Linked DNA regions of Lepisosteus oculatus. Each later gene encodes a partner of the first gene's protein in a complex. Links are inferred from orthologs where the notes say so. Each region holds a gene or a part of one and is shown on either strand. Other genes may lie near its edges.

The links.
Region 2: med24 (region 1) and med20 share a complex: the UniProt entries of both Homo sapiens proteins name them as parts of the mediator complex. The link is inferred for Lepisosteus oculatus from reciprocal best matches to the Homo sapiens genes MED24 and MED20.

What each region holds. Positions count from the first base shown.
Region 1 is NC_090723.1:6,284,590-6,296,196, reverse strand, and holds the start of med24 (mediator of RNA polymerase II transcription subunit 24), read right to left. Parts: upstream 4,553-11,607; 5' UTR 4,430-4,552; intron 3,204-4,429; 5' UTR 3,159-3,203; coding exon 3,029-3,158; intron 2,451-3,028; coding exon 2,368-2,450; intron 2,211-2,367; coding exon 2,172-2,210; intron 1,900-2,171; coding exon 1,826-1,899; intron 1,272-1,825; coding exon 1,051-1,271; intron 806-1,050; coding exon 694-805; intron 171-693; coding exon 20-170; intron 1-19. UniProt on the Homo sapiens protein: Component of the Mediator complex, a coactivator involved in the regulated transcription of nearly all RNA polymerase II-dependent genes.
Region 2 is NC_090700.1:40,788,575-40,799,933, forward strand, and holds med20 (mediator of RNA polymerase II transcription subunit 20), read right to left. Parts: upstream 4,867-11,359; 5' UTR 4,783-4,866; coding exon 4,769-4,782; intron 3,225-4,768; coding exon 3,076-3,224; intron 2,803-3,075; coding exon 2,549-2,802; intron 2,448-2,548; coding exon 2,223-2,447; 3' UTR 1,875-2,222; downstream 1-1,874. Other genes in the region: bysl (bystin), read left to right, coding at 5,195-5,471, 6,109-6,271, 6,780-6,918, 7,029-7,162, 7,687-7,847, 7,938-8,040, 8,331-8,682; ccnd3 (G1/S-specific cyclin-D3), read right to left, coding at 10,824-11,030, 11,265-11,359. UniProt on the Homo sapiens protein: Component of the Mediator complex, a coactivator involved in the regulated transcription of nearly all RNA polymerase II-dependent genes.

The DNA.
Region 1 (11,607 bases):
GCCGGCACCCCCCGCTCACCTGCATCCTCTTGATCATCATGAGCTGCTCCACCAGGGGCTGCGTCTCCCCGGTCAGGTTCATGGTGCCCTCCAGCATGACCAGGGTGTGCACCGAGGGGAAGGAGGTGCGCTGGGGGGGCTCGGCCTGCACCACCAGCATCAGGGGGATACTGGGGGAGAGGGGCGGAGACAAGTAGGAACCAGGGAAGGGGCCGGGAAAGAAAAGAGGAGAAAAGATGGACAGAAGGAGGAGGGGTCAGGACTCATACAACTGTCTTCACACCCCGCATACACAACTGTCATGAGCTTACAGACAGAATAAGGTCAGAACCCATTGAGCTTGAGGTATGAGATGCCCCCTTACGTTATATATAACACCACCCTCTTGAAGTATGAAGAACGCCTGTACATGATAAGACGTCCCCTTGAGGTATGGGGAACCCCTGTCTTATATAACACCTCCCCATCTTACAGGTTATGAGGTAAGGTTCCCCTTGAAGGCTCTCGTGACATTGAAGAAATGCTGCACCGCGAGAAAGCATGGCACAGATCAAAGGCTACAGCAGCCTGCATTAATAAGGTTTATTTGAGTAGGCCAGTCTTGATCTGTGTGGAAATGATTTCTTTCACAGGTTACCGGGTGCACTTATCTAAAGAGCCAATATCATCACCACAACCCCGCCCTGCGCTCACCTCTTCACCAATGACAGGCACTCCTCCAGCTTGCTCCTCAGCACCTGATTGGTCAAACTGTTGAGGTTCTCCGTCACTCGGATCACCGCCTGCTCCACATTGGTCCAGGAGGCTGTCAATCACAACCAGGGGAGGGCGGGACAAGACCGTGGTCTCAGTTTGCTTCTACAGTGGCTGTGTGCCTGTTTCTGGAATGTCAGATTCCTGCGCTCATGACAGAAACTGCACCGCTAACGGACAAAAGAATGCTGCATTTGTGATGAGAGCTTGTGGCGACTGTGGTGTGCAAATGGTTTGTCACAGCATATCTAAAAAAAAAAAAAAACAGTCCCCTAACCCCCTGAGCGGGGCACTGACCCTGCTCCTCCAGCCGGGCGATGTGGATCAGGGCCCGGTTCTTGGTGCCCCGCAGGAGCCCCTCCAGCCGGTCCACGCAGGCCCGCAGGCTGGCCTCCCCCGCCTGCTCCCCCTGCTCGCGCAGCCGCGCGCTGTACCAGGCGCAGCCCTGCAGCAGCCACACCAGCGCGGCCAGCAGGGAGCGGCACAGCCCGATGCACTCCTCCGCCTTGCCGTGGCAGCTGGGGGGGGGGGGGGAGAAGGAGCGTAAGACAAGAGGTGCACAACGGGGGGGGGGGTGTTGGCACAGCCACACGCTTTCCATAACACCAGCGATGATCCGTCAGGCTGTGCCTGCCTCCGCCCATAATCAGGACTGGGTAAGGGTCCCTTGGGGAGCCCTACAGTTTAGCCCGACTTCACCTCTTGGGGGGACCGTCCCCTGGCTCCTGGACAGACGACACCAGTGCCCCCACCCCTGGCGCAGACTGGTAGCAAGGAAGAGATTTGCCCACGGACAGGTAGTGAGACAGGGAGCCCAATCGCCTTTCACCAAGGGATCAAAACCCTGGGGGACAGTGAAGCCTCACTTGCACAGCTTTTGGGAAGCGGGTGGAAACCGGAGAACCAGGAAACCAGCAAGGACCATGCAAGCTCCACACACACAGGCAATACAGGCCGGGACTGATCCACACATCCGCAACACAGCTGGGCAGCCTGATCCACTCTGCGAAGAATATGACCTCCGTTGACCTATCAGTATGTTATTCGCAATGTGGGGTAATTCCTCGCCTACCTGAGCTGATGGGAGAACATGTCCATTATCTCCAGCAGGGACTTGACGCAGAGCTCCCGGGAGAAATCGTCAAACTGGGGACCAATCAGAATAAACAGGGTGGTGAGGGTCAGTCACGTGCCCAGCTTCCAAACAGATTGAGAACAGAAGCAGAGGACACCTGTCTTATTAAACATCACCGGGATCTACAGCTGCAGAATGCATTAACTTTTTAACTTTTTGGGAATTAATTAAAAAGAACACCGTGGAATATCTATTATCCAAGTACAGTAGAAATGTGATTTATATTAACTAATGCACACTGCAGATGTTTTGCTTTGGCAATAAAAAAAAAACATATACCCACCTTACTAACAGCTGTCAAAATGCTGGAATAGGAAACCATCTAGGGGAGAAATAAGATGACGAGAGTTAATTTTACTGTCTATATCAATGTCAATGTCAATATCGCCTCACCACTCTGACCCACAGATCAAAGCATGTCTCAAACCAAAAATCCCTCCATTAAACCTCCAATCCACTCTGTACTCCTGGCACTGTACCTGCGAACTGATGGCGTACTTCAGGTAGGACAGGATGAGAGGGTTGGGCGACAGTCCAATCATGGCCTGCTCCAGGAGAGCTTCTGCACACAGGGGACAACAAATACCCAGTATGACGCATCAGAATGCCCAAAGAAGAACCCACTAGACTGTGTCCAGACCTGAAACTCCATTCAACAAAGCGACTATACCACACATACTGCATGCTCCTCAAGGGGCACAATGTAATAGAAAAAGTTAGTCATAGGTGCAGTGTTTCTTGTCCAAGCTGCAAGAATTAACAAAATATATCACTGTTGTTTGTTTACTATTACCACCCACAATTAAGTGGCTCCATCGCCCACCAGATCATCTTGGCTTGGAGCTGGGCAGAGATGTGCAGACATCCAGTAGCTGTAACTTTCACCATCCCTCATCAACAAGCAAGCATAGAGCCATCTGCTGTATCACCCTGCAACCCACTGGAGCTCAGCAGGTGTGAGCCTGGCCAGTACCTGGATGGAGACCTCCTGGGAAAAACTAAGGTTGCTGCTGGAAGAGGTGTGAGTGGGACTGGTAGGGAGCGCTCACCCTGCGGTATGTGTGGGTCCTAATGCCCTAACGAGACGTAAAGGACATCAAGACAGTCAGCGACGGGAACACACACAGAGGCACGACTGACCAGCCAGGTTGAGGTAGTCCCAGGTAGCTCCCTTGGGGAAGTTCTTCTTGATGTTGATGGCCCACTGAAAGTCACTCCAGCGCTCCTTCCAGGCCTGCAGGATGGCCTGCTTGAGATTCACCACCTTCATCTCGTGCGCTGCACCACCCCGTCACACCGACACGCCGACACGCCGCTGGGGAGAGCACACAGGCTATTTCTGGCTGTGCCAACTCCAGGCCAGCAACTTGTGCTTTTATATATTTCATTCTTACACCACAATTTGTGCAAATTCCCAATCTAGGTATGGAGAGTTTCACCCGTCTCCCATCACTATTGCCTTATTAAATATTAGACTGCTCAAATGTAGAGTTGTCAGAAAATAAACAAGGTCTATATTAAAGAACACAATACATTCATTTCTAAAATAGCCTTCAAGGTCTTAACGGATCACAGATCTTTACAATTACAATCTTACGTCCAGGTGTCTAACAGTTAATTAACCACCTGCAAAGTTTAGCACAGCCATGGCATGAAGGAGCTATGAACAGCAACCTGCAGGCCTCACAAGACAAATACCGTGTAAACAACGCAGGGTTTAACTGGAAACAACTGCGTTGCTTCGGAAGCCCCAGATATTCAGTATTAACCGTCAACCACAAACCAATTACAACGTGTGAACAATGACGCTGCACATATCCCGAAAAAGAATTCAAAATGCAAGTAGAGGCGCTTAAACTTGAGAGGATTCTCGAGTAGTTCACGTTCCCCTTCACGATAAGTCAGATCCGGGAACACTGGAGACTTCGGTAATAAAATCCCTCCACAAGTGGGGTGGCACTTGTCAACACAAGCCTGAAAACGCGTGAGTGTTTTTGTACTGTGAAAATGTATTGCCAGCGAAAATGTTTCAATTACTGCAGCGTAAAACTCTGCCCCAGAAAGTTCAGTGGCAGTTTCGCCTCAGCCTCTCACAGTTTATTCACTGTAAGATAGCTAAAGGTGGGGATAGAGTAGAGTTTCAAGAACCCACAGGGGATTTATCACACACTTTATAAATAAACCCAGGCTGTCCAATTTTCCATTTCTCCGACGGCTCCATGTAACCACGAAAATAAATTAAAAGTGCGGTATAGGGCGGTTACACAAACCTTGAAGCGTTCAAACACTACACTGCTCAAATGTAGAGATGTCGGCAAATAAACAAGGTCCATATTTAAGAACACTATACAATTTCCCCACAACAAGAGTAAGAATATGGGAAAAAAAGTGTTCACGGGCGGGTCACCTCCTTTCCCGAAACGGTCTAGTCAAATGTGTGAAATTCTCAACAAAAGCATCGCGTTCAAAGTGCTAACGGTAAAGCTTTTTGGAAACTATACAGAATATAGTTAATTATCACCTAAATGATACAATACTTACATTTTAATATTTAACGCATAAAAGCGAACCAGCATAACAAAACCAATTCAAGCCCTCTTCCTACTGGCCTGACTGTCCGGATTCATGTGTCAGAACCGCATTAAAGGATCATGGCTTCCTTTGCTCTGCAGGCGACGGGATATTTATTTTTTACGTATTTCCTTCCAGCTGAACCTGCAGGCAGGGAGATGTGAAGCGCAGACAATTGAGCCTTGGGACAATAAAAGTCTTGTATTTGATATTTTATTGATTTATATATGTACAATGGGAGTAATTATTCGGGATGGGAACCTGTAAAGCTTATATGATCGCAATTTTGCTTAAAACTCCCTTAAAAACCTAAAAAATGAAAAAGGCAACCCTCCCCCACACACACACACACAATTTATGTAAAAATATGAAACTATTGCGTTCTGATTTGAAAGTACCCTGGCACCGTGTTGTTGTTTTTTTCGTTCACTTATATTTTGATCTTTTTTGGAAACCTTTTCTCCGTTACATGTATTATTTGATGCTCAATAAAAACTTAAAATATATATATATATTTATACGGATAGGGGAATTGGAAGAAAACCACCTTTGATAAGGAGCAAGTTTTTAATGCGGTTGTGTTACGTAAACCAAGACCATGTCGCGCCTCTGATGTCATTCTTCTAAAAAAAAAAAGGTACAAAGCTCTCACTGTGATTGGTTGCTCGACCAGCCACTATGCAATCGCCTAATAGGTTAAAACGCAAACCGGCTGTAAGGGATTGTGGGAGTTGTAGTGCTTGTCAACCTGATCATATTTGAGGTATAGAAGGCAAAGGTTTACTTATGCTGAAAGGAAAAGAAAAGAGACACATTTCGACTGTAGGAGTGATGGATGTGTGCTGATGTTCTACTTGTATTTTGATAGCTGTGAGATGAAACTTAGGATCATAATTACAAGACTGGGGGGGGGAAAAAGGCACAAAGAGTTTTTCTAGGCAGCCCTACAGCGACGACACCTACTGGTGAAGCTGTTTCTCACCTCTCTGCCTGATCGGCGAGGTCGGGCAGCTGGTGCAGAATGACAGTCCTGCAGTCCACGTCCTAGAGCAGCAGTTCCCCGTCCCAGTCCTGGTGACCCCCAGACCTGCTGGTCGGTGTTCCAGTTACACAATCAAATCCTTCGTTGACCTAATAATAATCAGGTGGGGAGCTGCGTCAGCATGCGTAGGCTGCAAAGGAACAAGTAATGGGTTTATTCCATGCTGAAAAAAAGAAGAAAGACAACACAACGTTTCTCAGGTGACACCTGAAGAAGGCTCCACGGCCGAAACGTTGCGTTCTCTTTCTTCTTTTTTTCAGCATGGAATAAACCTATTACTTTTGAAGCGTTTGCTCCCGGCTCTTAAACATGCTGCAGTGTTAGCCAGTGTATGTTGTAAGTGAAATGAAATTGTGACTGAAAACAAGAAGCAAATATTGCAGTGAAAATCTGGAATGAAAACCAGCAGTGTGGGAACCTCTGACTTAGACGGTCCTCCAGCATGTGAAGTGCTTCTGTATGATGTAAACTCAAGTAATTAGAATTCAATTACAGCGTTTAATCAGGATATTGTTTGGTTTATCTACCCTAAAACCAAATACAAGACATCCACTGACTTTCATATTGACCCCACACAGCACTATACTGCAGTGAACTGTTCGTTAGCATGCAGGATTAAAAAATAATGCTGAAAAGAATATGATGAATGGAATACTTATAACAAATGCTAAAACACGGGGCTTAGACAGGCTGCGAGATCAATCAGCTGCTTAAGGCATAAGAACAACCCACCACTACACAACAAGCTTGTCCAAAACCACAAGACCTCTTGATAGAAATATGTTTCTATTGTCATGTCAGTGTAGCTCTCAGGCAAATTCCTTTAGACTGATATTGTAGTTTGTAGGAGTTTTTCATGTTTTCATCACAGGAAAAAAAAACGAATCGCACCTACTGATTTTTTTTAAATAATTCCATTTATTTCCAACATATATAGAACTTGTTTTCTCAGGGGTTGCATTGTTTTTTTTAAAGCACTGAACCATGTAAATATTAAAGGGACTTGTTTCATGCAGGCTGGCTTAGCAATGTTACACCATTTCATATTAGCAACATTTTAAAAACAATTAATATTTTTTGTTTCTCTAATATGTTACACATTTGAAGACCATATGTACAAAAAGGTAAAATAAACTTTACAGCAAATATTTGCATACATTTTTAAAACAACAATAATACATATGCATAGAACATACAGATTCATTTCTGTGTCTTTTTCCTTGTTTGTGTATTTGACAGTTCTTGTCCAAGGCCTCAGAGGAATGGTCAGATTTTTGTTTTGATTAGTTCTGCTGGAAGATGAACAGTCTGCCTCCACCCTGTAAATTCAATTCTCCTGGAATGAAAAGCACAGTACCAGTTTTATTCTTCGATTTCCCCTTGACCAGTGTCAACGAGTTTCCTGCAAACATAAGAACAGTCGGTTGCTTTTGTTTGGGGGAAAAAAAATAAAATAAAAACACTTTTATTTCCCCCATAGCAGCATTTAAGTTTTGTATTCATTTCAGACATGAATAAGGAAACTGCATAGTTGTCTTTTTTTGGAGTGTGCTTTTATCAGCCTTCAGAGAGGTATGCCATATTATTGTAACCTTGGAGATCTTGCTAACTTAAGGTAGAAGGAACAGGATAACGTAGGAGGTGGAATAGTAAAATAAATGTAAAAAAATGGGTAAAATGATCAAAACTAAAAACTGAGTGTTGCGTTGTTTCTTATTTTTCAAGGGAACACAGAGCATTATGCTCTCACAACACACATCAGAAATGAGGCACTTCTAGGACTTCTTCAGAAAAAGAAAATGGGAATCTTGAATAAAAAAGCAAAACAAGATTGTGTTACCATTTTACCCTGCAGTAGGCACAACACAGTCCAGGGGTTCACACAGTCAAGGGAACGGGCATCGCATACGCTCAGAATTTGCTTCCCCGAATGGACGAGGAACATTGATGATAACTGTCCACTGGGGGGGGCAACAGGATTCCTTGTTTCACTCAGGCAGGTCTCCCAGCTTGAACACACTGCTCATCGACTCGGGTTGAGGCAAGAAACTCCTCAGAAACTGTCATGGGAGATCACACTTAAACTTCCAGTTGCAAAGGAAGCAGAGCTACAAGTGCATTTATCATCAAAGCACGGTGTGTAAGGGTAAAGTACTGTAGATACTAAGGAGATGCCAAGCGGGTGTGTTAATTTTAGTGACACTCTGCAGCCAGACTGAAGCAATATGTCCCTTTTATTGTGTCATCTGCTCCGATCCAAAATCATGTCTTAAACTAATCTTCCTTTTTTTTTTTTTTGCCTCCAATCCATTCAGGAACCAGTCCAGGTATCTCCAGTCACATGGCCTGCATGTTTCCTGTCTGAAGACCTCTCACTTCCCGTACAGAGTTGACTTTCAGTGGACACGGCCTTCTTAGAATGCCTTTCATTTTGCATTCGCTATCAAGCTCTGCCAAGCCACGTCCCAATACAATCACTCCTGTGCAGAGCTCTGCCACAGTGATGGAATTGCCTGACTTTTCAATATCACATCCGCCCCTATGGTACACAGAGCATCCTGTCTGCGTGCCTTCCTGACTGCCTGTGCACCCAAAAACAAAACCCTGAAGGGGGAGATGAAGCATCAAAAACCCATGTTAGCTGTATAAATAAAATCTGCAGGTGACACAAACCCTGGAATACAAGGGATGGCAGTTCAGAAGTGTCAAGGACTGGACATGGGCTTCTGTTGCTAGCTTGCTTCTTACAATGTTTAAAATGCACCTTCAGCAGGTGGTCCTGCAGGGCACGGGGGGGGGGGGGGGGAGGGGTGAAATGATTTGTCCCAGCAGTGGCCAGATGGTTGGACTAAGCTATTCCCCCCAGGCCTGCGAGCAGTGGCCGCAGAGAGGATGCCATGGACAGATGACTCATGCAGAACAGAAGGTGCGGTTCTCTGTTGGAATGTGACCAATGGTCCTCATCGTTCAGGGGCAGGGAAGAGGCTAAAAGTGCCAAGGGCGCACAGCCGAAGAAGGGCGCCGCCTTGTGGTTAAACCGAACAGCAGCCTGGTCGCCCTTTGGTTTCGCTGGTCAGCCGTGACGGGGGTGGCCTCCACATGCATACATCCCAATGTGCCTCACAAAAAGAAGCAACTAATCACTGCTGCATCAAGGCAGGAGTGTGGAAATACAGTTGTCGAGAATTTCTTTCTGACCAATCTAAGGGCCGAGGGGGAGTGGGTTGCTGCAGGTGGGAAAATAATCATATTGCTTAAATCTTGGCAGCAGGGAGGCAAAACAGACTAAAGGTCCATAACACCCTGTTCTAACATGCCGAGGGACTTCTAGACCTTCTCCAACAGGTTTCTATTTCATTTTCTGATTGTTGACAATTTTGCAATGTATTATTGGTTAACTCTTCTTTGTTGCTTCTGCTCATGTTCCTAGTTCCCTGCGTAATCTGGCATTTTGAGCTGAAAAGAAGAGCTTCTGAAAAAAAGACTCCTCCAGACTGACTGCATACACTCCTTAAGAGGGGGCGGGGGAGCAAAATTATGCTGCACTCCGACTGTAAAAGCACTGTGCTGTATGCAACACTGATAAAACTCCCCCTGGAACAGCCAGCATGGGTCTCCTCTGTAGCAGAAACTAAAATTACAGACTACACTACTTTTAGTTAGGGCAACAGTACCTCACCCACTGGGACACACAAACAAGAATGCTTTAGGGCCCTAAAAGGTCAATATAGGCAAATCTGGCAGGTCTGGCTACCCAGAGAGAAACACGCTGAGCTCCCACTGCAAGCGGGGAGGAAAAAGAGAAAGAGATGCTCTTTCTGCGGCACTGCAAGAAAACCTCTGGATAAAGATCAACATTCCTCCCCACGTTAGCAAAGCTAATCCCTCACATGTACGATTCACAAGAGCTTCCAGTCCTAGATTTCCAGACATGACAAGAGATATAAAGTTTTTAAATGGTGCCGTGTTTTATGAACACACTTTTACCCTTACACACACACACACAAGGCTCCCTTCTAAAATTAAGAATAAATGATTTTTTTTTTATTGATATAAGGCAGATCCTGACTAGGAGACTTAAATAGTACAATCATCTGATGCTCCAGTAATACGTTCTGTGAAGACACTTTCAGGTTTGTGTCTGAATGAACTGCTGTATGTCAAATACACAGAAAGACCCCAGCGGTCCTTCCCCCATATCAACACACCAAAGGACCACATTTCTACTGTTACACGTCCACACAAATGCAATAATTAAGACCTTCAGACCATACAGCTCACCAATTCACAATCTGTCAAAAGGCTGCAGCCAACAAGCCCATGTAAACACAGTCCTGATAGTTCAGATCTCTCCCCCCACCTGTCTGATAACAACATCCAATAAAAAAAAAACACTCTTTACCCAACAACCTGGACGCACCCAGAATTCCCCCCACCCACCTGCAAACATTGGGAAATATGGCCAAAACACGAAATCCAAATATCGTTAGTATCATTACGGTCGCAGAAAAGAAGTATCAAAACAACAGCCAGGAAAAGGCCTAGTGTCAGAATTCAGTAAGGAAACTATGAAAACTAGTTGTTGTCCTCAAACAAATGACTACGTGTATGAATATATATATAGCCCGTGTGTATGTATAAAAAGTACATCTGTTTGTAAAAGTAGTTAGGCATTTTAACCCCTTCCCCAGAAGATTTTCTCTTCTATGACACGAGGGCATTCCAGATCTCAATAACTTTGTCCAGAGTTCCCAGCTGTGGGGACACAGACCGCCATCATCTCACTGGGAGAGGAAGCTCTGATGACGCCTCGACTGGGAAGTCTTGGAAAGTTGCATAGATTATGCCTGAAGTTCTTTCTAGTGCACGATCCTTTCCGGTGTCACTTGTCTCTCTCGAGCCAGCCCTAGTGGCGATCGTCCCTCTCTTTCAAGTCCTTGCCAATAGAAACAATGGTACGGCGCCCCAAATTGAAGGCTAGATACATCGCAGAAGTGTTCCCGGCAAGGAGGAGGAGGGATTTCACTGAGTGACAGGGCTAGGCAAAGTGCTCCCAGAACTCTCCGTCTGATCACTGCACCTCTGTGAGGAAATAGTCCCCCCGCAGGAAGCTGTTTTATTACATCTGCTAGAAGCAGTTGGAGAAGCATAGCACGGCATTTGATTTTTCTATATAATAGTCATATGAGGGCTTTAAAACCCACGGATGTTGTATTTTAAGCTCCTTTCTTTTATATGCATCAATACCCCCCCCAAATTAGCCTCCACGTGGCCACCTTCTTGTTGAAACAGGAGGTGCTGACAGTGAGGAAGTGGAGAGCTCCAGGCTGCAGGCAGTGGGAGGGCCAGCAGGGGGCAGTGTGGAAGGTCCTGCAGTGGAAGCACTTAAACATACTTCTCACAGACCACCTGCATCCACTGAGCTGCTCACTCTGCGTCCTAGACCGACTGGGACACTAGTCTCATCGAACAGCTAGGGCATGTGTTCTGGATCTGTTCGCCAAGCGCTCTCTTTGACAAAGGAGCCATGCTGTCTTCAACTCCCCAGAAAACTGCTACTTCTAAAAAGGAGCTGTTTTCTGGGGACGTCACTCTTGAGGAGAATGAAAAACAAACTCCGAGGGGGAATTAATGCTAGGCTCAGCACTGATGCCCCCCTTTTTCAAGAGTGTACCTTCATGTCGCCCTTCTTGGGGAGGGGGGAGCCCCTTGTTTTCAGTCTATAACTTCTCAGGCAGGGCCGTCCACTCCGGGTCCTGGAGGGCTGCTGTGCCTATAGATTTTCATTCTAGCTCGGCCATTAACGAGCTCAATTAGTATGGTATTGTCTTAATTGGACTAATTTGACAGCTTCTTCCAACTCTTCAGGTGTTGCTGTTTTAAAACAATCGAGAACCCCACCCAGATACACCGACCCCCCCCCCGATCAGGGGAGACACCCATTTTCTAGGGGGGAAACAGAAAAGACTGTGAGGGAATATTTTCATTACTTCTTTAAGCTATCAAGCTCCAAAGCAAAAGCCAGGATCAACGAGTTCTACTGAAAATGCCCTGTAGTCCATACACAATAAGTGCTTTAGTGAAATGCATGTTGTTTTTTTAATCC
Region 2 (11,359 bases), on another chromosome or scaffold:
TAAATTAAAATACCATTGCTTGGGCATAATAGAAGTGGTCAAAATAGCTGGTTTTCGCTTTTCAAAGACGCAGCCTTAATTTAACTATAATTTCCGACATTATTCTAACGCCGATTATATTGAAGGGAAGAAAACACTTTTTGGCGTCACTATGTCTCGCATTTCAACAAGTTGCGGCTCCTTGCTAGGAGCCGGAGCCGGGTACAACCTGGCCCGGTGGGTATTTCCTTCAACAGTTCCCACCCGGCTGCGCGTCGTTACACTGATCGCTCGACCGAAACTGAAGGACCTGCTGCATTTTTAGGGGTGTCCTAAAGGATTTCGTTTTCAAATAGACAAATAGACATTCGTTTAGGGCACAGTCTAAATATCCTACGATACATTTTTATATATTTCAGTCATGACGTTGCGCCATAAGGAGTGATGATATTAAAACTTCCAATTTTGTCACGTCAGCTTCACCTGTGTCAGGGGACCTTATATTAAAAATAACCACTTTTCCACTCCGTTGTAAAACGACCGCATTTTTTCCATTTCTAAATAAACACCCAACTAAAAAGCCGGCGGGTCTTATAAGCTCAAAGGAACAAAACCCATACATTCCTTCCTCAGACACGCATTCCGTTGACAGACCGGCACCTTCAAAGATGCAGTTAAGCAACAGGCAATTTTTCCCACATCGTCACCTCCACCGTCCCCACGGCGGCACGCTGGGGAACACGGAGGCAGAACAACGTGCTTCAGGTTCAGCTCATCATTGGGAAATAGTTTTCCCTGGAATCCTGCAGTACTCCTGCAGGAGACTGTAACACGGATTCACTCCACAAAACCTGTTAAGAGGCTAATTCCCAGACTCCGAGACGTCCGGATCAGAGCCACACCTGCCAGGCCTAGCCAGTGCACGAAAACGGCACACAGATCGCCTCACTGCCTGTAACTGGGAGCTGCTACCCTGCGCTGCCCTGCCCTGCTGTGCACAGCGACATTTTCATTTCTCCCTGCAGCACTGCTTCTCGCTAAGACTCTCCAGGAGTCTCGCCTTGGTGATAACTGCAGAGTTCAAAGTCCTGTTGGTGATGTCGAGAGGAAAACGCTTCCTTGGGAGCAAAGCTTTACTTATGCAGCAGACACCATGTGGATCACAAGAAGCAGGAGGTATCTGCATGACTCCTGCGCCCTTGAAAGCTGGCCTGGTCTCCATTCTCAAACACCCCCCACTCCCAGTTCCACAGAAGGAAGCACCGTTTATACCCTGACCACCTCTTCCGCACACCTGGCTGCTTCTGTTCAAACACAGCAGAACTCGCATGAGTAGTGAAGAAACACAGGGGGTCCTTACAGTTGTGACGTACCTTGAGAGCTCGTCTTTACTCATTTTTGTTTAGCACGTTGCGCTCCCTACAGCTGTATCTTGAGGAGGGGACGCAGTTTATCCACTGCAGAAGTGTGGCATCAGTCACCCGAGTGACACGCAGCAGATAGGGTGAATTACCGAGAAGAATTTGCTTCACCAGTAGGATTACAGAAAATGTTATGGAAGCTAGACTGTACATATTCCTAGTGGATTATAGTCATGACAGCAGGGTTAGCACCTGTCCTTTTGTAAACAGTGCCCCGAGGTCTTCTAATGACCAAGTAGACAGGACTTCAATGTTTTAATGTCTGATCCAAAGGAAGTCACCTCCTACAGCACAGCATCCCTCGTTACCTTGTTACTATACAGAGGCACAGGTTTGGAAATTCTGGCCTCCTCAGGGCCACTGCCTCCCATCCCAGAACTGACCAGACCCAGCCCAGCGTACAGGGTGATTAGCACTGCTGTCACATTAGTATTAATGCAGAAGTACTAGGAACCAAAACACCTGAAACCTGAAAACTGACCAAGTTTTTACTTAACTTGAAGAAGGAGGATCACATTATAAGAATCATTTTCCTTGCAAAGGAAACACTTGAAAAGTTTTTGCGGCCGCCTGGAACAAGTTCTAGCAGAGCGCGCAAACACCTTTAACCTTCAGTATTTGTCAACAGCACACTGGGATGATCCCCTTGCTATGAGCTGGAACAGGAGGAATGTTTCTCCAGGCGCCAGGAGCTTTCCAGCAGGCTGCTGTGCCTCTCGCGCAGGAAGTCCAGTGTCCCACTCGGACCCGCGCACACACAAGCACAGCTGGCTCAGGCTCGTGCAGGGATGGGAACCTGTTCTGGAACTCGGGGGCCTCCTCTCAGCGCATGCTGCTCCCGATTGCCACCTGCTGCTTGCGCACCTTGCCGAAGAGCTCCAGGTACTGCGCCATGGTGTCCGAGCAGTCGGAGGGGCTGTAGATGCCGTCGGGTTTGGCAGTGAAGACCATGGGCAGTTCGGGGGTGTGGGGTCCCAGGAATCCCTGCATGAACTCCTTCATCAGATTCCAGCAGTCGTTGGGCACCCCACATGGGCAGTACTCCACCTGCACACACGGGCACACGCAATGTTAGCAGCCTTTCAGCTCCTCACTCCTGCCCCCTTCCCACCTCTACTTCTCCCACTGGGTGCTTTCCTGCTCCTCACCTCCACAGAGATCCCTCTGGCGCTGGAGCCCATGGTGATGGTGCCAACCTTGACCAGGAAGTCGCAGTACTGGAAGCGCGTGCCACGGCTCTCCACCTTGTTACCCTTGGCGTTCTGGAAGTGGCCCTTCAGCTTGATCATCAGCACGTCGAAGTTGGGGTCGGCCACCAGGCAGGGCCCGCCCTCGAAGAGAGCGAAGCAGCTCAAAGGCATCTCCGAGTTGTGCATTACGTACAGGAACTTGGTGGGCTGCCCTGGGGTGAGAGAGGGAGAATGTACAGGCCAGCAGGGCGTTCATCTTTGTACCATCTCAGCCTGGGTCTCTAACACAAACATTTTACTTCTGCATCAAGCCTCTGTGCGCTAGGGGTATTATCTATCTGCATCTTTCCCCCTTTCCTTATTAGCTTTTTTAATACCCTCTGTCTCAAGCTCTCAGTGCTATTTTGTGTTGGACAACTCTCTCCACAACACTCTACCTCTCTCTTTATCCAGAGTAACCACGCTCCCTCGCTCAGCGCTCTCACCTGTAGTGCCCATGGCCCCCGCATGGTAGGTCTCACAGTCCACGCAGAAACTGCCCTGTTTCACTGCTCCCAGCTGCTCCAGCTTCCTGTGCAGCATCTCCACTGTCTGCTGGACACTCTTCCCCTCCACCACCGGCACCTGGCACACACTGCCAGAGCACAGGGTTACTGCTAACACTCCACACACACACACACACTGCCAGAGCACAGGGTTACTGCTAACACTCCACACACACACACACTGCCAGAGCACAGGGTTACTGCTAACACTCCGCGCACACACACACACTGCCAGAGCACAGGGTTACTGCTAACACTCCGCGCACACACACACACTGCCAGAGCACAGGGTTACTGCTAACACTCCGCGCACACACACACACTGCCAGAGCACAGGGTTACTGCTAACACTCCGCGCACACACACACACACTGCCAGAGCACAGGGTTACTGCTAACACTCCGCACACACACACACACTGCCAGAGCACAGGGTTACTGCTAACACTCCCCACACACACACTGCCAGAGCACAGGGTTACTGCTAACACTCCGCACACACACACTGCCAGAGCACAGGGTTACTGCTAACACTCCCCACACACACACTGCCAGAGCACAGGGTTACTGCTAACACTCCCCACACACACACTGCCAGAGCACAGGGTTACTGCTAACACTCCCCACACACACACACACTGCCAGAGCACAGGGTTACTGCTAACACTCCCCACACACACACACACTGCCTGAGCACAGGGTTACTGCTAACACTCCACACACACACACACTGCCAGAGCACAGGGTTACTGCTAACACTCCACACACACACACTGCCAGAGCACAGGGTTACAGCTAACACTCCACACACACACACTGATTTCAACTAATAACCTTCCTAACTGAACAAATTATGAGTTTAACTGGTATTTTTAACACACTGCCGGACTGTGTCAAGTCAAGACTGGAGTTGAGTTCTTATAAAGCAGATAGTTTAAAAACAAAAAAGCAAAGCATCATATATCAATTAGATCGTTTAAATTATATATTTTTTAAATGCATAAAAGTTTTAAATAAATTGTTCTAGGAACCGAGCAAAACTATAGTGCTATTTTAAGAGTTGGTTCAAAAGTGTCATCTTGTGACACAACTGTGCATAAAGCTTTTTAAACATACTGCTAAATTGGAAAATGCAATCGGTTCTGGAATAACCTGCATTAGCCAGGCTGCAGTTACATAATTCAAAACAGCTCCTTTCTCCAAACCACCTTCTTCTCCTCCTGCAGCATCATCATACTGTAATTGTAACGATATACCGCCGGACCAGAGACTCCGCTAATATAGCACACCCTGTCCCTGCACGTAAACAAAGCACGCTGCCTCCTTTCAAACTGCAGACCATTTCGTTTCAAATGGCTTCTAAAGTCCGCAAACTCACAACTGTTGCTGTCGGCGCAGCCCCACCAGGGCCGCGGTTAACCAGTTTAAAAACGTCTGTTATCGTATTATTTAATATTTATGGTGAGGCTCTGGACCCGAGGAACCCAGCTGTGACTATGTTGTTGTACACGTAGGTATGAAACTCGCATTGCTCCAACACCATGTCCAGCCGTGTAAAACAATACGCTCCGGATCGCCATTGTCAATGAAATGACGTTTCTGCTGCAATAAAAGATTCAAATAACTAATCTTACCACGTTACACCCATGTTCGCCTCTGACAGAACAAGACTCCTCTAACTTCACGTTACTTCAGACACGAGCTTCCTGTTATCAGGAAGAGGAAGTGACGCCACGATCGGAGGTTGACAATAACAAATTAGTACAGCTAATTTATATTCATATTATTCTTATCGTGAAATTAAATGATCATTTTCAAGACTTCCTATAAAGACGTTTTTAAAAGTTGTCTTCAATTTTATTTTTTGTGCTTCGAGTGTCGCCATGATTGTGCGGGGTGGAGGGGCGGTGACATCATTTCCGGTGAGTGGCAAAGGGTCACGCGTGCTTGCTGAGTGGTCTTTCTCCACATGTGCGGGCAGAGTTTTAAGTCTGTTTTACAGGTTTCGGCACACAAGACAAACAGAACTCTGACAGCAGAGCGAATCGGCGCCTACGGAGATGCCGAAAGTGAAGAAGACGAAAGGCGGAGGGAGAGCGGAGCACAGCCGAGTCGCGATGGTTCCTCTGGCCGAGCAGATCCTGCAGAGCGATGAGGTGAAGAGCAGCGGCCGGGTGAAGAGCCGTGGCCGCCGGCAGGAGGCTGAGGACGAGTACGTGGACGAGCGGCTGTCCCGGAAGATCCTGGAGCAGGCTCGGATACAGCAGGAGGAGCTGGAGGCGGAGTGCGGGCTCGGGAAGACTGCGGAGAGTAAAAAGCAGCCCACGACCGTGCTGGGTGAGTGTTTAGCGAGGGTGACAGAACGCGTGCCGCTTGTCACGGGCTGGTCCTGCGTCCGGCACGGGTGCGACCTATCTCGGCTGTGCGTGCCGCGTTGTTTGTAAGGAGAGTGACATGAGTGAGGCGTCCTGTTCGTGAACTGTTCGTACAAAAGAGGTGGAAATCAGATACCGCTTCTCTCTGCTGTGCTTCAGCTGCTTGGTCACACACGGCCTCCGGCGCGACCCCTAGCGAGAGGCCACAATCCCATCACCCACCTGGCCAGGTTTTCATGAAGCCAGCCGTAATGCTGGCACTTTGAGAGCAAGTAGCAAACATTGAATCCTCCTTTGGTGTCTAGTGTCCTGAGAGTTATGGGCAGGGGGGTTGTCACCGTCTCAAACTGTATCGCTGTAGAGTGTTGCGATTTGATTCAGAACCAACAGTGAAAACTACTGGGAAGAGTTCTTAAAAACTGAGACCAGGAGGTACTTCTATACACAGAGGGTGGTGGAGGTCTGAAACAAGTGGCCCAGCCATGTTGTTGGAGTTCATTCCCTGGGCCATTTCTGGAAAGATCTGGGTGAAATGATGGGATCAGCTAGCTCCCAACAGCCCTGATGGGGTTTTCTGACCTGTTCCTGTTGCCCTGCAGGCTCTGGCTCCAGGGACTCGGACTCGGAGGAGGAGGAATGGCCGGCGCTGGGGCAGGGGGGAGATGGAGAGGACGGGGAGGGGGCGGCAGGGGCAGAGGTGGAGGTGGACCCGGAGGATGAGAAGGCCATCCAGATGTTCATGAGCAAGAACCCGCCGCTCAGGTACTGACCCGGACCGACCTACCTCACAGAGCCGGGCTCTGGCAATGCAACAGCAAACCTGCTAGAATTCCAGCAGCGCAGCCCAGAGTTTACTCAGTGTTTCTCAACCACAATCCACAAATCGTGTGCAGTGCTCTCTTCCACACGTACGGAACTTTGCTGGAAAAGCTGCCTTGAATATCTGTTTACGTCTAGAAATCCTTGAGATGGGACCATCTTTTCTCTGGCAATGAAAAGACCCCACATCAGTTCCAGCAGCAGAGTCCCTGTGTGTCCAGTAATAGTCAATGTTCAGGAGCGGTCCAGGAGTCCAGACTGTTGAGGCACTCGGGAGTTCTGGGGTCTGTCTGCCAGGGTTTGATGTGGCCAACAGCAGACAAGTGACTGTCTCCTTAAGCCCTGCGTTGTTCCAGCCTGGAATGTCCTGCCCCCGTGTGCGGAGTGCGTGGTTGCTATCCTCCGGCCTCAGTGTGTCAGGCTGCGTTCACGACTGTGCCTCTTCCCCCAGGAGGACTCTGGCGGACATCATCATGGAGAAGATCACAGAGAAGCAGACGGAGGTGGAGACGGTGATGTCGGAGGTGTCGGGGCACCCCATGCCCCAGCTGGACCCCCGAGTCATTGAGGTGTACAAGGGGGTGAAGGAGGTGAGCGTCCTGTGCTGGGCCACGGTGTGGGCGGGGACACCCTCTCTCTCAGTCTGTGTGCTGCCATTCCCTGTCTCTCCCTCACTGTCCTTTCTGACGCACTCTCCCAGGTTCTGTCCAAGTACCGCAGCGGAAAGCTGCCCAAGGCCTTCAAGATCGTGCCTGCTCTGTCCAACTGGGAGCAGGTGCTGTACATCACAGAGCCGGAGACCTGGACGGCGGCAGCGATGTACCAGGCCACACGGTGAGATCAACACTCCCCTCACAGCTCCCGAAACACTTGGCCGGCAGACCGCACTGCTGTTCTTTTGGTTTGTAGCGCTGACACTGTGCAAACGGACAGAGGAGAGGCTTTCCTGTCGTCTCTGTAAAGTGGTTCTCTTTTTTAACCAAGAAAACATTCTCTCATAAACCACTTCAGCCCCAAACTCTTTCCGTGTTCGTAGGGCTATGCGTCCAAGAACATGAGAGCACCCATTGCGCAGGATTCTGATCCACTTATAGTTTTACAAACTGCAGGCTTTTATTCAACTGGTAGCGGCTTTTGAATTTGTGATGGGAATTCATATGTGCCTCAATATGCACAGAAGAGCGTGTAAAGCTAATTGCTACTGTTATGCTTAATCGGTACAATGTATACAGTACAACCTGGTTAAACTCAACCAGGTCAAGCGACAGCTGTCGGATGTGTCCTGTGTGAATTATTGTCCGTGTGCAGGTGTCCCTTTTCTACGCCTCATTTTTCTTTCTCCCTGTTGCCACCTGCAGGATCTTCTCCTCCAATCTGAAGGAGAGGATGGCTCAACGCTTCTATAACCTTGTCCTGCTGCCGCGGATTCGAGATGACATCGCGGAGTATAAACGGCTCAACTTCCACCTGTACAGCGCGCTGAAGAAGGCGCTTTTCAAGCCTGGGGCCTGGTTCAAGGGTGAGAGTCTAAGGCTTTATAATGGCCGTCCCTGGCAGTGCAGGAGATGAGCCACATCGCTAACGTCTCTCCCCCCTCTTTCTCGCTCAGGAATCCTGATCCCCCTGTGCGAGTCGGGGACCTGCACGCTGAGAGAGGCCATCATCATCGGCAGCATCATCACCAAGTGCTCCATCCCTGTCCTGCACTCCAGGTACACAAGCAGGAGGGAGGGCCGGCAATATTATTTCGTTATTTGGCAGGCACTTTTATCTAGCGCAACCTCCAGAAGTTACTATTGCAGCACCTTTTTTTTTCCCCCATGTACACATGTTGGTGTCCATTTCTGGAGGTGTGTTGTTTTACTCTGGGGTAAACAGCAGAGGCCCCACCTGGGATTCAAACCCACAGCCCTTTGGGCAGGGGCTCAGAGGTCCCCTTCATGCTGCAGAGGTTCGGGCAAGTTCAGCACACTGAATGGTCCCTGTCTTTCCCCTCCTCCAGCGCGGCCATGCTGAAGCTGGCGGAGATGGAGTACACCGGCGCCAACAGCATCTTCCTGCGCCTGCTCCTGGACAAGAAGTACGCGCTGCCCTTCCGCGTGCTGGACGCGCTGGTCTTCCACTTCCTGCGCTTCCGCAGCGACCGCCGCGCGCTGCCTGTCCTGTGGCACCAGAGCCTGCTGACGCTGGCGCAGCGCTACAAGGAGGACCTGTCGTCCGAGCAGAAGGGGGCGCTCCTGGAGCTGCTCAGGGTGCACTGCCACCCCCAGATCTCCGCCGAGGTGCGCCGGGAGCTGCAGCACTCGAAGTCCCGCGACGAGGAGACCGCCGCCCCCGCCATGGCCCTGGACTAGACGCCCTCCGGCCCCGGCCCCCCGCCTTCCTGCCTCATCATGTTCTAGAGAAATTGCGTCGCTTCCCTGTTCCAGGCCAAACGGCAGAACGTCGTGCTTCCTCTTGATTTCAACAAAACGCAATGGCGCCTTTCTTCTCTTCTTTCCTGGAGCAGAAGCAAATGTTTCCCTGTGGGGGGAATGGGCCGGCTCAGTCCTGCCCTGGGCTCAGCTCGACTGTGCGACTCGGGATGCGGATTTCGCATGGGATTGGCGGGGTCTGGGGAATGTGAAGGGGACGAGGCTTCTGACTGGGAGAGGAGGTCCCGTCTTCACAGCTGGAGGCACCCTTCTCTGATAAAGACACCGTCACGAAGGGAGTCACCCCGCCTGCCAGCAAGCAAGCGTTCAAGTAGTTGTCAGAGAGTGCTGTGGCATGTTGTGCAAGCTCAGTGCGTGCTGCTCTTACTGAGGAAAAAAGCTGTGAGTTGTGTAGAGCCAGTTAGCAGAGCTGGGAGGGCAAGGGGTGTTTAGGGCCCGAGGCTGCTGCTGTGTGGAGCTGTCAGCTTTCTAAAACTGGCCATAGACATTCCCAAAAAGCCGTCTAGACTCGCGAAGAAGCCCAAGTGGAAAACTGAAATTGAAAAGACAGCAACTGCAGAACCACACTGTTTGTTTACTGAACTTCTCACCCACCAGAGCGGGCATACTCTGACTCTGACTCACAGGCTGCTGGGTGAGTTTCTGCCAATCAGAACAAACAATGAGGAGGTTTAATGTAAACTTGCAGCATTAAAAGTACTTGGTTGGTATTTGTGTGCATTGTTTTGAGTTCACGGATGTAATCCAACCTGACTCAGGAACTGAACTCAAAAGGTTGAGGATCTTCATGAGGGGTTTTCACTGTGTATAGCACTTACTGAACAACTGGGATAACATTTTAAAAGTATTGATCACTGCATACTTAATTTATATACCGAGTAATTTACTGTGTCTCTGCTGCTTTAGTGGCTTCTTTCTCATATTAGGGTTGAACAGATCCAGGTTCACTAAAATAGACTTCATTTCTGATCAGCCATCACATGCTCCCAGCTTAATCAAAATGATCGATTTCTATAATTTTGTGTTTTACTCAGCTATGTATTTTCAAGTTGAGATCCAAGCCTGGTGTAGGCCCTTTTCCTATACTAAGTTCATAATTTGTATTTGGGACTTTGGTGCTTGTAATTTGGGTTTGTAGAACTATTTTAAAAAACATCTGTGGAGTATAACATAACTTTTATAGATAGAACCTTCCAGTGACCATAACAGAAACTGTTCTCAGTGTGTTTCTGCAACAGAGAAGAGCTATTTGTGCACAATGACACATTCCAGCTGCTCCCAAGACCAGAAATGAGACATCACCACCACTGAACAGCCACAAAATACAATTCAATATTTTAATTTTCATTGTTTAAAAATCTTTTAACAGCAGCAGTCTTGTGTTTTATTTGAAAAGGTGACATTTTAAACTCTCCAAACAGGAGCAGTTAGTGATACTGTTGGCTAATTGACAAACACTCACACCTGCAGATGCAGTCTTTGACACAGCAGTTATGCTTCTGGGACAAACAGGCTTAGAAAAAATAATTCTCAAAATTCTCCAACAAAACTGTTGAACAGATGGGAGGAAAGGGATCCATATCCATTCTTTCTCCATCAGAACAGGGCTACTCGGCTTGCATCCTCTCTAGTAACATGCAGTGCAGAATTCTGCTACATTTGTTTTACTGAAAATTAGCAGGATGAATACAACGTGGTGCTGTATCCAGTTTGGCTGCTGCAGTGAAATGTACTAGAAGGGCGACAGGTTAGGCTCTCCAGCCCACTGGAACAAACAGGGTGCTTTCAGCCATAATTGAAACAAAACTGCACAAAACAGATGTGCAACAAGGAACAAACAGTTGATCGAATGCATTTTTTTGGGAATGTTTTAAATACATTTCAATAAAAAACAGTATGATGAGACTGAACAGCTGGAACCCAAAATGGAAGGCTGAGAGCTGAGCTGAGCTGGTTGTCCGTGCTTACGGCAGAGTCTCGGCACGGAGCTCAGCTTGGGGTACACCCGTACCAGGGCTCAGCTTGGGGTACGTCCATGCCGGGATGGGTCTCCCTTCTCCTCAGTGACCGTCCACTCCTCCCCCAGCTGATCTCTTCGGTGGGCTGTGGGGCGACAGGAGGGAGCCGGACGCAGTCAGGTGGACATCGTGGATATCCGTGGGGGTGCCAACGGGACTAGGCTCGGGAGTCCTGGGTTGGCAGGATGATTTAGGCAGGTGGCGCTGCAACATATCCTCCATCTGCTCCAAGCAGGATCGCAGACAGTCCTGCCAGGACAGAGAGGGAGGAGGGGGAGCGACAGAGGAGGGGAACAGGAATAGGAGATTAACGCAGAAGCACCACTGCAGAACAGTAGCGTAAAGAAGAACTGTACTCTTGTACAGGATTGCCCTTCGTTAACAGATCTGGAGGACGAGCACTCTGTACTTCGTGCAAGAGCAAAGGGAAGCCACTTCACAGACAGCCAGACGGAAACACAACACAACAGGACACACACTCACCACATCGGAGGCAGTGATTTTGGCAAGCTGCTCCATGAGGGAACTGCCGGAGAGGGCAGGATCTGGCACCAGCAGGCCGCGGATGGCAGCTCCCA